Linked DNA regions of Lonchura striata. The protein of the gene in region 2 purifies or fractionates together with the protein of the main gene of each other region. This does not show direct contact. Links are inferred from orthologs where the notes say so. Each region holds a gene or a part of one and is shown on either strand. Other genes may lie near its edges.

Region 1 (3,747 bases), on a different chromosome or scaffold from region 2:
CAGAAATATCTGGTTTGACACCGGGCCTCTTCTGTCCTAATTTGGCCATGAAGGTGGTTTCTCCCCATTTTGTACTAAGGGTGGTCCGTTTGTTGGAAAACACTTCATCAAACTTGGAACTGCCATTTCCCCCTTTCCGGCTGTAGGTCTTTCCAAATCGGGATGTCATTTTGGCTCCTGTTTCATATTCTCTGTTGTGAAAGAAAGAAGAAACATCAATTCATCACTTTTCTAGTACAAATTATTGTTACTTCCACCCTTTATTGGGCATACAAGCACCAGGCATGTACACTGCACACAACCAACAGCTCCATCACGTGTTTCTTTCTAGATGCACTCATTGACATGTGACTGTCACTATGGCAAAAGGTTCTGCACTAAGCACCCACTAAAATAAAAAGAAATTCAGTTGCTTGCACATTTATAAACCAATGGCACAATGAGTCGTTAAGAAAATCTTCTAAGAATGGTATTGCTTTTCTCTAATTTTATATTTTCAAGTATAGAAGGCATTATCATAAAATATCATGAAACAACTCAGCAGTATTTTCACCACATCTGAACACACAGCTCCCTCCTAGAGTCCAACAGCATAGCATGGCATAAAAAAAATCTCTTGCCAGTTAAATACAAAAACTGAGAGAATATTTCACATTGCTGTAGATGTATTTTAAGTACTAATTAATCACAATGATGACCACTCCATCCCACATTCATCTCTCACACTCAGACTCACGTAACAGTTGTTTTACTTGGTAACATTATGTGGTCAGGACTGGTGCACAACAATCCCCCACAGGTAAATCTGATTCGTCAAGGGACAGAACAGAGACACTGCTCAATCCACCTCTAAGAACATGGAGGACACCTTCAGCAGGCCCATGTAAACCAGTACTGCTCACTGGCTCTTACAAGCACAACTGCTCCACAGCCTGCTCAGAGGAACAGAAGTGTAAAAGTAACACATTAAACAGGAACACATTTAAGAGTTCCTTGTATGTGCTCTTTTTCTAATTTTGTTTAACTCAAAGATTTTTACCCAAAAACAAACACTAACTGCTGGACAAATGACAACACAAACCCCAAACTCTCATATCTGTTTTGTGAACCACTATTTCTCTCTTTTTGGCCCAAACATGGATAGGAAATTGCAATTCTTTATAGTCAGCCTGAATCTAATCAATTCCATCCTTCTCTCTGAAATACCTCTCCATACCAGAAAAAAGTCTGCTAAAAAAGACAGTTATTTAAGGTACAGAATCAAAGAAATCTAACTTTTGAAATGTTAACTAACTTCATATAAAGTATATGAAAAATGGCAGTTAAAATAATTTTATTGGACTTATAATGATCTATTTGTTCAATACAACTGTTTTTATTATTACTCCCCGAATATGTGACATACCATCATTCCTATTTTAGTTTTCATCTCAGCACTCACAGCTTCTCAACCTGAAGTGGCAGTCTTGCTTCTGCCAAAATTGCCAGACTGCCTTCCAGAAATGTCCCTCTATCACTTCATTCTAGCAATACTGTCTCACTATAATAGTCTCCCTCTATTAGACCAGACCAACCTTCACTTACCATTGGAACCAAGCAATTCACGGGGAGAAAACCCATGGAGAAAATTTAAAGTGCATTAAAATGATCACATTTGAACTTCAGAAGTTTACCAGGTGGATGGTGATGCAATGCAGAAGAGCTACAGGAATACCCACTTTGGGAAAGGCTCTTTTCCCCCGTGGTGCAGCTGAGGGAGGGTAAAGGCAGGTGCTCATCTGCTGAGCAGAACTCTGCTGCAAAAGCCACTCTTCAGAGGGCTCCTGGCTGTTCCTAGGAGACAGGGCTCTTGAATCCCACCTCCTCTTTTCCACACACATATCACTGCCAAACTCCTTTTCTTTCTCCTCTGCATGGAGCTCCAATTTTGTGTTTTCTATCTACACATAGTTTAGAAAGCAAACAGCAAACAAAATCTAAATTACCAGTTTTATTTTGCTGATGCTTGTAAATATTTGTAACAGCAACCAAAATATTTTACACCAGAATAGCCAGGTTTTTGAACTGTAGAAGCTGAAGTAAAATATTTACTAATATCTCAGTTTCTAACAACTTACAGGAAAGAAAAAACCATTTCACTGACCACCAGCATATTTTCCTTCCCTACACCCTCAAGACTCAAGTAAGTATTAGTTATAATAAGCACTATAAGAAGTACTCAGACAAGTATTTTTTATACTATGTTCCCAACCTATGCAAACTAATGACAAATTTAAAGTATAGCTTGGGGCTTGCAGTTCCAAAGGGAAGATTCCTGTAGTCAAGAGGAGTTAATTTTCAGAAAGTAAACTCCATTTTCTTATTTATAAATTTTAAAATTATGTTCATCTCATAAGTTTTAAATCAAAACACCAAAACCCGAATTAATACTCAATATAATGTGCACAGTTTAAAAGTATTAGGAAAATATAAATACTCTATGCTATACTCTTATATCTTAGATTTAAGAGCATAAAGAGGTGCTTTCTTACACGAGAGCATCAACAGAACAGGATTTTTCTCTTTACTCACAATTTTCTCTTGATTTTTCTCTCAGACGGAAATAAAACACTTGGTGTAATCTCACTCTGTTTCCGCTCCCTGCCTCCCTCGCCTGCATTGTGCTGCACCATTTGGAGCAATACAAGCAACGTAAAGACACGTAAAACCCAAAAACCACAGTTTTCTCTCCTTTCCCAGCGCTAACTCGGCGGACCAGCTGGGGACAAAAAACCCGGTAATTCCCCAGGAAGCCCATCGGCCACCCCTACTCATCGCTCCTCTCTACACCGCTCCTCTTACATAATCAAAGGAAAGAAAAATAGGTTAAATGCAGGGAGGCAGAAGGAGCTGATGAAATCCCACGGTGACAGTTTCTTTTTTCCTCCCTCCCCTTGCGGCGGGGGGGCGGGGGTGCGAGCGGAACCGGGTCACCCCGCCGCTCCCTGATGTCATTTCCCGTCCCGCGCGGCCGCCTCGCCCGCCCCGCCGCCCCACCGGCCCACATTACACAAGTGCCCGGGGCAGCCGCGGCCCGCGGAGCCGCACCCCCCCGCGCCGGCCCGAGCCAATTCCCGCCCCGCAACTTCGCGCCGGGCCGGGGGCGGCGGCCCCGCACGCCCCTGCAGGCGGGACAGCGCCGGGGGCCCGGCGGCGGCTGCAGCCCGCGGGGTGCGCGGCCCGCTCGGCCCCCGCCGCCCCCTCACCCCGCACCCACCTCGGCGTCAGCGGTGGCGGCGGTGCCGGGCGCGGGCCCGGCCGATGTGGCTCCGGCCGCGGGTTCGGGCCGCCGAAGCGCCGCCTGCGAAAGGCGCTCAGCCCGCGGGACGCCTCCGCCCCTCCGGCAGCGGGACCCTCCCGGGGTGTCGCGGGCGTCAGGGCCCCCGGCGCCGCCTCCTCCGGCGCCGCTTCCTCCGCGCCGGGATTATCGCCGCGCTCGGGACGGGCCCCGGGACCATCTCTCCGCCATTTGCCCCCGCTCCTTCCTGCCGTCACCGCGCGCGCCCCGCCCCCCGCCACCGCGGCCAATCGCCGCGCGCCTCGCTCGGCCGCCCGCGCCGCCTCCGCGCATGCGCCCATCCGCGCGGTGCCCGGCGGGAGTTGTAGTTTGTGGCGCGGCGCGGGCCCCGCGGGGCCCGGGCCCGGCCCCCGGAGCCGGCGGGCGGGTCCCCGCGGCGGGGCGGCCCGAGCCGGGACCGAACGGGGTGG
Region 2 (3,747 bases):
AAGCCTAACTGCTTAAAAAACAAAGCACAAAGCCTATGTTCTCCTCACATTTATACCTAAGAAAAATTTTTAATGTACTAACTGACCTGTCCAGACCATGATTTCTATTTTTCAGTCTTTACTGTCATGGGAAACAGATCATCAGATGATAGAATATTTCCAATCTCTAGAAATTATTACTCCATCCTGGGCATAGGACCAAATCCTAGGTTACAAAAACCTTTGGTCCAAAGACCATGGTGTTAACAAATGAGCTGTGTCAATATTTGATCAATGCTCAACTTAATTCTCTATTTTCAGCATGGACTTAAGAAATAATCCTACTGTATCACAGTAGCATTTAATTTTTTTTGCAGTGGAAGAAGGAATTAGTAAAGTAAAAAAGAGGCAAGACTTGCACTCCTCCAGGATGCTGTCAAACAAGCAGAGAAGATGCTTTTCTAGCAATCCGTTTTGCTCAAGAAAATTTAGCAATTTTGTCAATTACACTAAATAGGAAAAAAACAGTATGTATCACACTAAGTTAAAAAATCTTGAAACAGGTTTTACATTTGAAACTATTTCAAAATTCCATCCATAAAGTCCACAAATTAAGCTTTGTTTTTTGCAAACAGTGTGATCTTTTCAATCATAAATACCCTTATGTAGACCTACTTGTTTCCTCTGCTCAACTATACTTTCTTCAAATGCCAGAACCCAAAAAACCACCTGGCTTGCAAAAAAGTTTTGCTAGCATATCCTGTAATTATTACTTATGATTCCACTTCGAATCTCCTCTCTAGACTGTGGATATGTTTCGTGTACAAATTAGCAGTTAATGTATCAAATCCAGCATTGAGAGAACGCACAAGAGAACAGTAATGAATTACAAAATATGGGAAAAATGGGTCCTCCACTCTTAAGGAAAAACAATGAAGTCATATTCCCTTAAAGGTCTGCAGGCAGGAAGGACAACAAAACTCTGGCAGTTCTCCATTCCAGCGATAAAATGTTTACCTTAACAAGTAAAAGTTGCAGGGAGGGGAGTGGTAGTCAGAATTGCTCACCTTTAACCGTTTAACCACCTCATCGTTGGTAATTTTGTCCGTAATCTCCTTCACTCCAGGAGGATAGTAGATGATTTTACCGTCGGCAGCGGGTTTTGGTTGGGTAGCAGGGAAGTCCATCCTGGCGCTGCTGGTTATAAACTTTCCTTCTCCACAGTCCTCTACCGGCCTCTATCGGTCAGAAAACAAAAGTTCAGCAGAATGGAAACGACTTTCTAACCCTCTTTTTCCATTCCTCACCCTCAATTCGCTGAAGGCCCCGGCTATCGCCCCGCCGGCCGCGCCCCCCAGCGCTGACCCCGCCGCATCCCGGCGGGAGCGAGGCCCGGCCCGCCGCCGCTCCCCGCGACTCGGGCCTCTTCGCTCCCCTCCGGCGCCTCCTTTCATTGCCAGGCTGCTCCAGCCCGACACTGTTAGTTCGCAGCCGACGGTTTTACAATGAAATTTGGGGCCAAATCGAGGGATACCCCGCGGCCGAGGGCCCCTTACGGCCCGGGGGGTGGGCCGGGGACGCCGTTCCCGGCCCCAGGAGATGGCTCAGAGCCGGCACACCGGCTCGGAGCCGGGAGACGAGGCCTAAACAGTTAGGCCTCAAAACTATCGGGAGGCAGAGAAGCCAACAGGAGAGGGGGAGGGAGGGAGGAAGGGAGGGAGGCGGCGGAGAGCGCAAACAAAACCCCCCCGCGAACCCCCCATTCCCTCAGAGCCCCCCGCCCGCCCTCCCGCGCCTCCAGGAGCTCCCCCGGAGAGGCGGCCCGGCCACTCGCCACTTTCCATTTGTTCCCGCAACTTCATGTCCCCTCAGCTCTCGCCCCGCACCCCCCCCACCCGCCCCGCCGCCCCGCATTCGGCCGGGCCCACAAAGAGCCCCCCGCAGCCCCAGCTCCGCGCACACACCCCCGCGGCCGTGGGGAGCGGGGAGCGAGCACGGGGGGAAGCGGGACCCGGAGCCGCCTTTACCTCATGCAGCTCCGGAAGGTGCAGCATTGAGCAGCCTCCGTGCCGGGTGGTGCTCGCCGCTCCGCCGCCACCCCGCCGGCCGCTGCCCTGGGCACTCCCGCCGCCTCCTGCTCCGCGGCGCGGCAGCTCCTGCTCGGGAGCGCTGGCTGGGGGAGGGGGAGCGGCTCGGTGGCGGCAGCAGCGGCAGCGGCGGCGGCCGGAGAGAGGGGGAGGCTCGGGCGGAGCGTGCGCCGCGGGCACCCAGCGCCGCTCTCCGCCCGCCCAGGGAAGCGCAGCCCGGGCGGAGCCTGCGCGTCGCCCCCGCCCCTTCCCCTTCCCCTTCCCCTGCCCGCCCGCGGCCGGCGGCGACGCCCCGCCGGGAGCCCGCAGCCCCCGCCCCGGGCAGAGGGCGAGGCCGCCCAGTAAGTCTGGCACCGCGCGGAGCCGTGCGCACGGAGGGCTGGAGCGGCGCTGCCTCAGCTTGGCTCCTAAATCCCCCCGGGGCGGCGATGCCCGGCTGGCGCCGAGCGGCGATGCCCGGCTGCCGGCAGTGTCAGCGAGCGAGCCCGCGGGTTCGCGGCTGCAGCGCGGGAAGCGAGTTACTTTGCTGCTTCCTTACGGAGCCCAGGCCGCTCGTGGCTGCGCGGGCCGGTCCCTCAGGCGTCTGGGGCCTGGTCAGCATGATAGAGAAGAGTGTGCGGAAACAGTGTGGGGGGCAGAGTGCTGTGGCCGGCGAGAGTGAGCAGTCCTTCTTCAGGCAGATGAGGGGAAAGAGGAGTATCCATCCTTTGGTTGTAAATCTTAAGGAGAAACTTGACTATGCAGACCAAAGGAGCCCTCGCCAGCCAGCTCAGGAAATCCTTCCGTGCAAAATGTCTTTCTAATTTAATATTCGTATTTCGAAGGGATGGGGTATGTCTGGAAAGGCAATAACAAAGTGGGATAGATCTGTTTGTTTTGAATCTGCAGTATGTACCGTGTCGTGTTTGAAGTGTAGGTGGCTATGAAATATTTTCTAGATGCCCATGCTGCTCAGAGAAGATGTGTGACAGCTGAAAGATGACTCTTAACTGATCAAGACTAATTTCAGGTCTTCAGCTGTTTATTTTTGTTATTCAAACCAGCTAAAAGTATTATTTTTCTTAATTTTGCAAATCTCTAATGAATTTTCTTTAGAGCAAGTTGAAGGTGGGAGGTCAGGACTAGTCTCCATGGAGGGATGTTTCTCTCCATGGGGATTGCACAGGTATGACAGGAGCCTCTCTACGCACAGCAGGGTGGTAGCTAGCATGGCCTGGCAGTGGCAAAGGAAAGGTGCAGGAGGGTGAGGGGATGGGATAGGGGTAAGTAAGATTATGGTGAAGTATGCCAAATTCCAGCTTTACAAGGTGCGGGTGGAAAACGTACAAAGACTGAAAAGCTTTTTGGAGCTTCAGGTGTAATAGCATGTGGGTAGGAAATTGCTATCCTACACTTGTGGTCCTCGTTTCCCTGCATTGTTGTCCTAGGGGAGTTAAAGCCTTGAGTGTCCACAGCCTCTATGAAACCAGCTTAAAAGGATTATAGTGAAAGTGACTGAGAGTTGCAATGAACACTTGGAGAATCTCAGACACTGATTTTGAAATTTAGAAGGGTGTCATCAAACCAGGCATTTAAATCTGGCTGTGAATCCAGACTTAGATAAAATGATTCTCTGTCAGCTTAAGGATCAGTGGATTTGGACATTGACAATAGACAGGTGACCCTAAGGTTGTACTGATTT
Region 3 (3,747 bases), on a different chromosome or scaffold from region 2:
AAATGCGCCCCAGACCCCCATAAATTCCCCCAAACTCCCATAAATCCCCCCCAAACCTCCATAAATGCCCCCCAAACCCCCATAAACCCCCCAAACCCACCCCAAACCTCCATAAATCCCCCCCAGACCCCCATACATCCCCCCCAGACCCACCTCAAACGTCCCATAAATCCCCCCAAACCCACCCCAGACCCCCATAAATCCCCCCCAGACCCCCATAAACCCCCCAAACCCCCATAAACCCCCCAGACCCCCATAAATCCCCCCAAACTCCCATAAATCCCCCCCAGACCCCCATAAATGCCCCCCAAACCTCCCATAAATCCCCCCAAACCCACCCCAAAACTCCCATAACTCCCCCCAAACCCACCACAGACCCCCATAAATTCCCCCAAACCCACCCCAAACCCCCATAAATGTGCCCCAGACCCCCATAAATCCCCCCAAACTCCCATAAATCCCCCCCAAACCTCCCATAAATGCCCCCCAAACCACCATAAACCCCCCAGACCCCCATAAATCCCCCCAAACTCCCATAAATCCCTCCCAGACCCCCATAAATACCCCCCAAACCACCATAAACCCCCCAAACCCACCCCAAACCTCCATAAATCCCCCCAAACCCACCCCAAACCCCCATAAATGTGCCCTAGACCCCCATAAATCCCCCCCAAACATCCCATAAACCCCCCCAAACCCACCCCAAACTCCCATAAATGCCCCCCAAACCTCCCATAAACCCTCCCAACCCCCCCCCAAACTCCCATAAATGCCCCCCAAACCCACCCCAAAGACCCCCAGGACCCCCCCCAAACCCCCCGGCAGGCTCACCGACGATGACGCGGGCGAAGGTGCGGTCCTCGGCGCCCTCCTCGGAGTAGACCATGCTGACGAAGGCGCGGCTGGCCGCCGGCTTGCCCACGGGCGCGCCGTGGATCAGGTCCCGCAGCGTCTTCACCCGCAGGTTGCTCGTCTTCTCCCCCAGCACGAAGCTGATGGCGTCCATCAGGTTGGATTTGCCTGCCGGGTTTGGGGGGGACACGGGGGGTTTAGGGGGTGGGGGAGACCCACGGGGTTGTTGGGGGGACCACAAGGAATGGGGGGATCTCAGGGAATGAGGGGTTGGAAGGAACCCCGGGAATTGAGGGGGGACCCCAAAGAATGGGAGGAACTGAGGGAATTGAGGGGGGGAGTCCAGGGAATGGGGGGAACTGAGAGAATTGAGGGGGGAGTCCAGGGAAAGAGGGGGGAGTTCAGGGAATGGGGGAACCCAGGAATTATTGGGGGGACCCCAGGGAATGGGGGGACCCCAGGGAATGGGGGGTTGGAAGGAGCCCCGGGAATTGAGGGGGGACCCCAAAGAATGGGAGGAACTGAGGGAATTGAGGGGGGAGTCCAGGGAAAGAGGGGAGAGTTCAGGGAATGGGGGAACCCAGGAATTATTGGGGGGACCCCAGGGAATGGGGGGTTGGAAGGAGCCCCGGGAATTGAGGGGGGACCCCAGGGAATGGGAGGAATTGAGGGAGTTTGGGGAATTGAGGGGGGACCCCAAAGAATGGGAGGAATTGAGGGAAATGATGGGGGGAGTCCAGGGAAAGAGGGGGGAGTTCAGGGAATGGGGAGAACCCAGGAATTATTGGGGGGACCCCAGGGAATGGGGGGACCCCAAAGTTCAAGAGGGACCCCATGGAATGGGGGGGACCCCAATAAGGCTTAGAAGAACCCCATGGAATGGCGGGGGGGGACCCCAGGGGAAGAGGAGGGATCCCCAGGAATGGGGGAGACCCCAGGGGAAGAGGAGGGACCCCAAGAATGGGGGAGACCCCAGGGGAAGAGGAGGGAGGCGAGTGGGGGGCGCTGAGGGAATGCTGTGGAGAATTATTGGGGACCCCAATAAAGCTTAGAAGAGACCCCCACGAAATGGGGGAGGACCCCAATATTTAGGACGGAGCCCAGGAAGCGGGGCGCTGTAAAAGAACTCGGTGTCCCCCCTCAGAGACCATCACGGGAGCGGCTCCTTGAACCCCCCCGGCACTCACCGGAGCCATTGGGGCCGATGATGGCGGTGAAGCGGCGGAAGGGCCCGATGATCTGGCGGCCCTTGTAGGACTTGAAGTTCTCGATCTCGATGAGCTTCAGGAAGCCCATGGTGGTCCCGGGAGGGTCCCGGGAAGGTTTCGGGGGTCCCGGGAAGGTTTTGGGGGTCCCGGGGGGGTCTCGGGGCGCAGGGCGGGAAAGCGGCGGCTGCGGCGGCCGCTGAGGGACGGGGCGCCGCGCCTCCCGATTGGCTCCGGGCGCTGTCAATCATCGCTGAAATCCCGCCTCCTCGCCGCTGATAGGCCGGTGGTTTTCCTTGGCGGCTTTGGGGCGCCGCGCCTCGCGATAGGCTCTGAGAGCTGTCAATCATTACCGTAACCCCGCCTTCTCGCTTCCTATTGGTTGTCATTTTGAACGCAGGGGTGGCGGCGCGAGCGGGCTCATTTGCATGGAATGTACCAAGTGTGGAGGGAGGGAAGGGTGGAATGGGCCGCCCCTTCGCCATGGGAACGGGGGGACGCCGTGGGAGCAAAGCAAATTGGGGGATTTTGGGTAAAAATCGCGTTGCTTGGTGATCTTGGGACAAAAAGCCTCGAGACAAGATTTATTCCTCGAGGTTTTTCCCCGTTAGAATGGTTCTATGGCACCAAGATTATAAATTAACGTGGAATAGTAAACAATAACTTAAAGATGATCACATGCTGTTTCAATAGATACATTTTCCACAATATTATTATTCATTAATGCCTATTTAACCTTCGATAAAATTAAAAGACATTCATATACTTTGCTTTATAAGATGCTAGTATAACCTGGCCTATCTCTACAATTTAAAATAAATATAACATAAATTATATTGGCATTGACACAATATATATCAATATATGTTGTACCGATATGCGTTGCTTATGTAATATAGTTTTCTGTATCTATACGCATACAGAGAAATAAAAGATAAAGTTATATATTTACACAGCATATCTATGCATCTATGCAATCTATATAACTATTTATCTCTATATAATGCAGGTGCATATCTATATAATTTCATATATCTGTATAATTTTTTACATATTTGTGTAATCCAATACCTATATAACCTAAATCATAGCTTTTTATATCTATATAACCTAAATACAACTTTCATCTCTATATATCCTGATATAAATAACGTTTTGGTTTACAATTAATGGGTATTTTACGGTGAACCAAGTACTTAGTGATGAACAGAGAAAAAAAGAAAATTCTCCCCAGGTGGATAACTTTAGGTAAGTATGATGCTAACAAGAAATTGATAAGTGTAAAGCCAATTAGCCGCAAAATGGAGATAACCTGCGATCAAATGAAATACAAACGTTGTTAGCAACAGCTTATTAGTGCTGGACAAATAAAGAGCGTTCTGGATAATAATTCATTGTTATCCAAATATTCCTCTTGTATTCCCACCTGGACACCTGATCCAGCATCCCAGGCGGGCTCCATTTCTCCCACTTTCTCCTCAGGAGCTCCATTTCCCCACAATTTTCTCCTCACGGGTTCCATTTGCCCCCTTTTTCCCCTCATGAATTACATTTCCCTCCATTTTCTCCTCAAGGGCTCCATTTTCCCCACATTTTTCCCTCAAGACCTCAATTTCTCCCTGTTTTCCCCTCACAAACACCATTTCCCCAGTTTTCCCCTCACAGGCTCCATTTCCCTCCATTTTCCTCT

The links.
Region 1: the proteins of PDS5A (region 2) and WAPL purify together in Homo sapiens (affinity purification with mass spectrometry; 6 studies listed by BioGRID and IntAct, with this or other methods). This does not show direct contact. The link is inferred for Lonchura striata from reciprocal best matches to the Homo sapiens genes PDS5A and WAPL.
Region 3: the proteins of PDS5A (region 2) and SMC1A purify together in Homo sapiens (co-immunoprecipitation; 8 studies listed by BioGRID and IntAct, with this or other methods). This does not show direct contact. The link is inferred for Lonchura striata from reciprocal best matches to the Homo sapiens genes PDS5A and SMC1A.

The regions. Positions count from the first base shown.
Region 1 is NC_134609.1:5,932,877-5,936,623, forward strand, and holds the start of WAPL (wings apart-like protein homolog), read right to left. Parts: upstream 2,958-3,747; 5' UTR 2,673-2,957; coding exon 2,572-2,672; intron 192-2,571; coding exon 1-191. UniProt on the Homo sapiens protein: Regulator of sister chromatid cohesion in mitosis which negatively regulates cohesin association with chromatin. Involved in both sister chromatid cohesion during interphase and sister-chromatid resolution during early stages of mitosis.
Region 2 is NC_134606.1:23,096,046-23,099,792, forward strand, and holds the start of PDS5A (sister chromatid cohesion protein PDS5 homolog A), read right to left. Parts: upstream 2,157-3,747; 5' UTR 2,034-2,156; coding exon 2,007-2,033; intron 1,218-2,006; coding exon 1,047-1,217; intron 1-1,046. UniProt on the Homo sapiens protein: Probable regulator of sister chromatid cohesion in mitosis which may stabilize cohesin complex association with chromatin. May couple sister chromatid cohesion during mitosis to DNA replication.
Region 3 is NC_134638.1:1,686,739-1,690,485, reverse strand, and holds the start of SMC1A (structural maintenance of chromosomes protein 1A), read right to left. Parts: upstream 2,260-3,747; 5' UTR 2,149-2,259; coding exon 2,040-2,148; intron 1,021-2,039; coding exon 832-1,020; intron 1-831. UniProt on the Homo sapiens protein: Involved in chromosome cohesion during cell cycle and in DNA repair. Central component of cohesin complex. The cohesin complex is required for the cohesion of sister chromatids after DNA replication.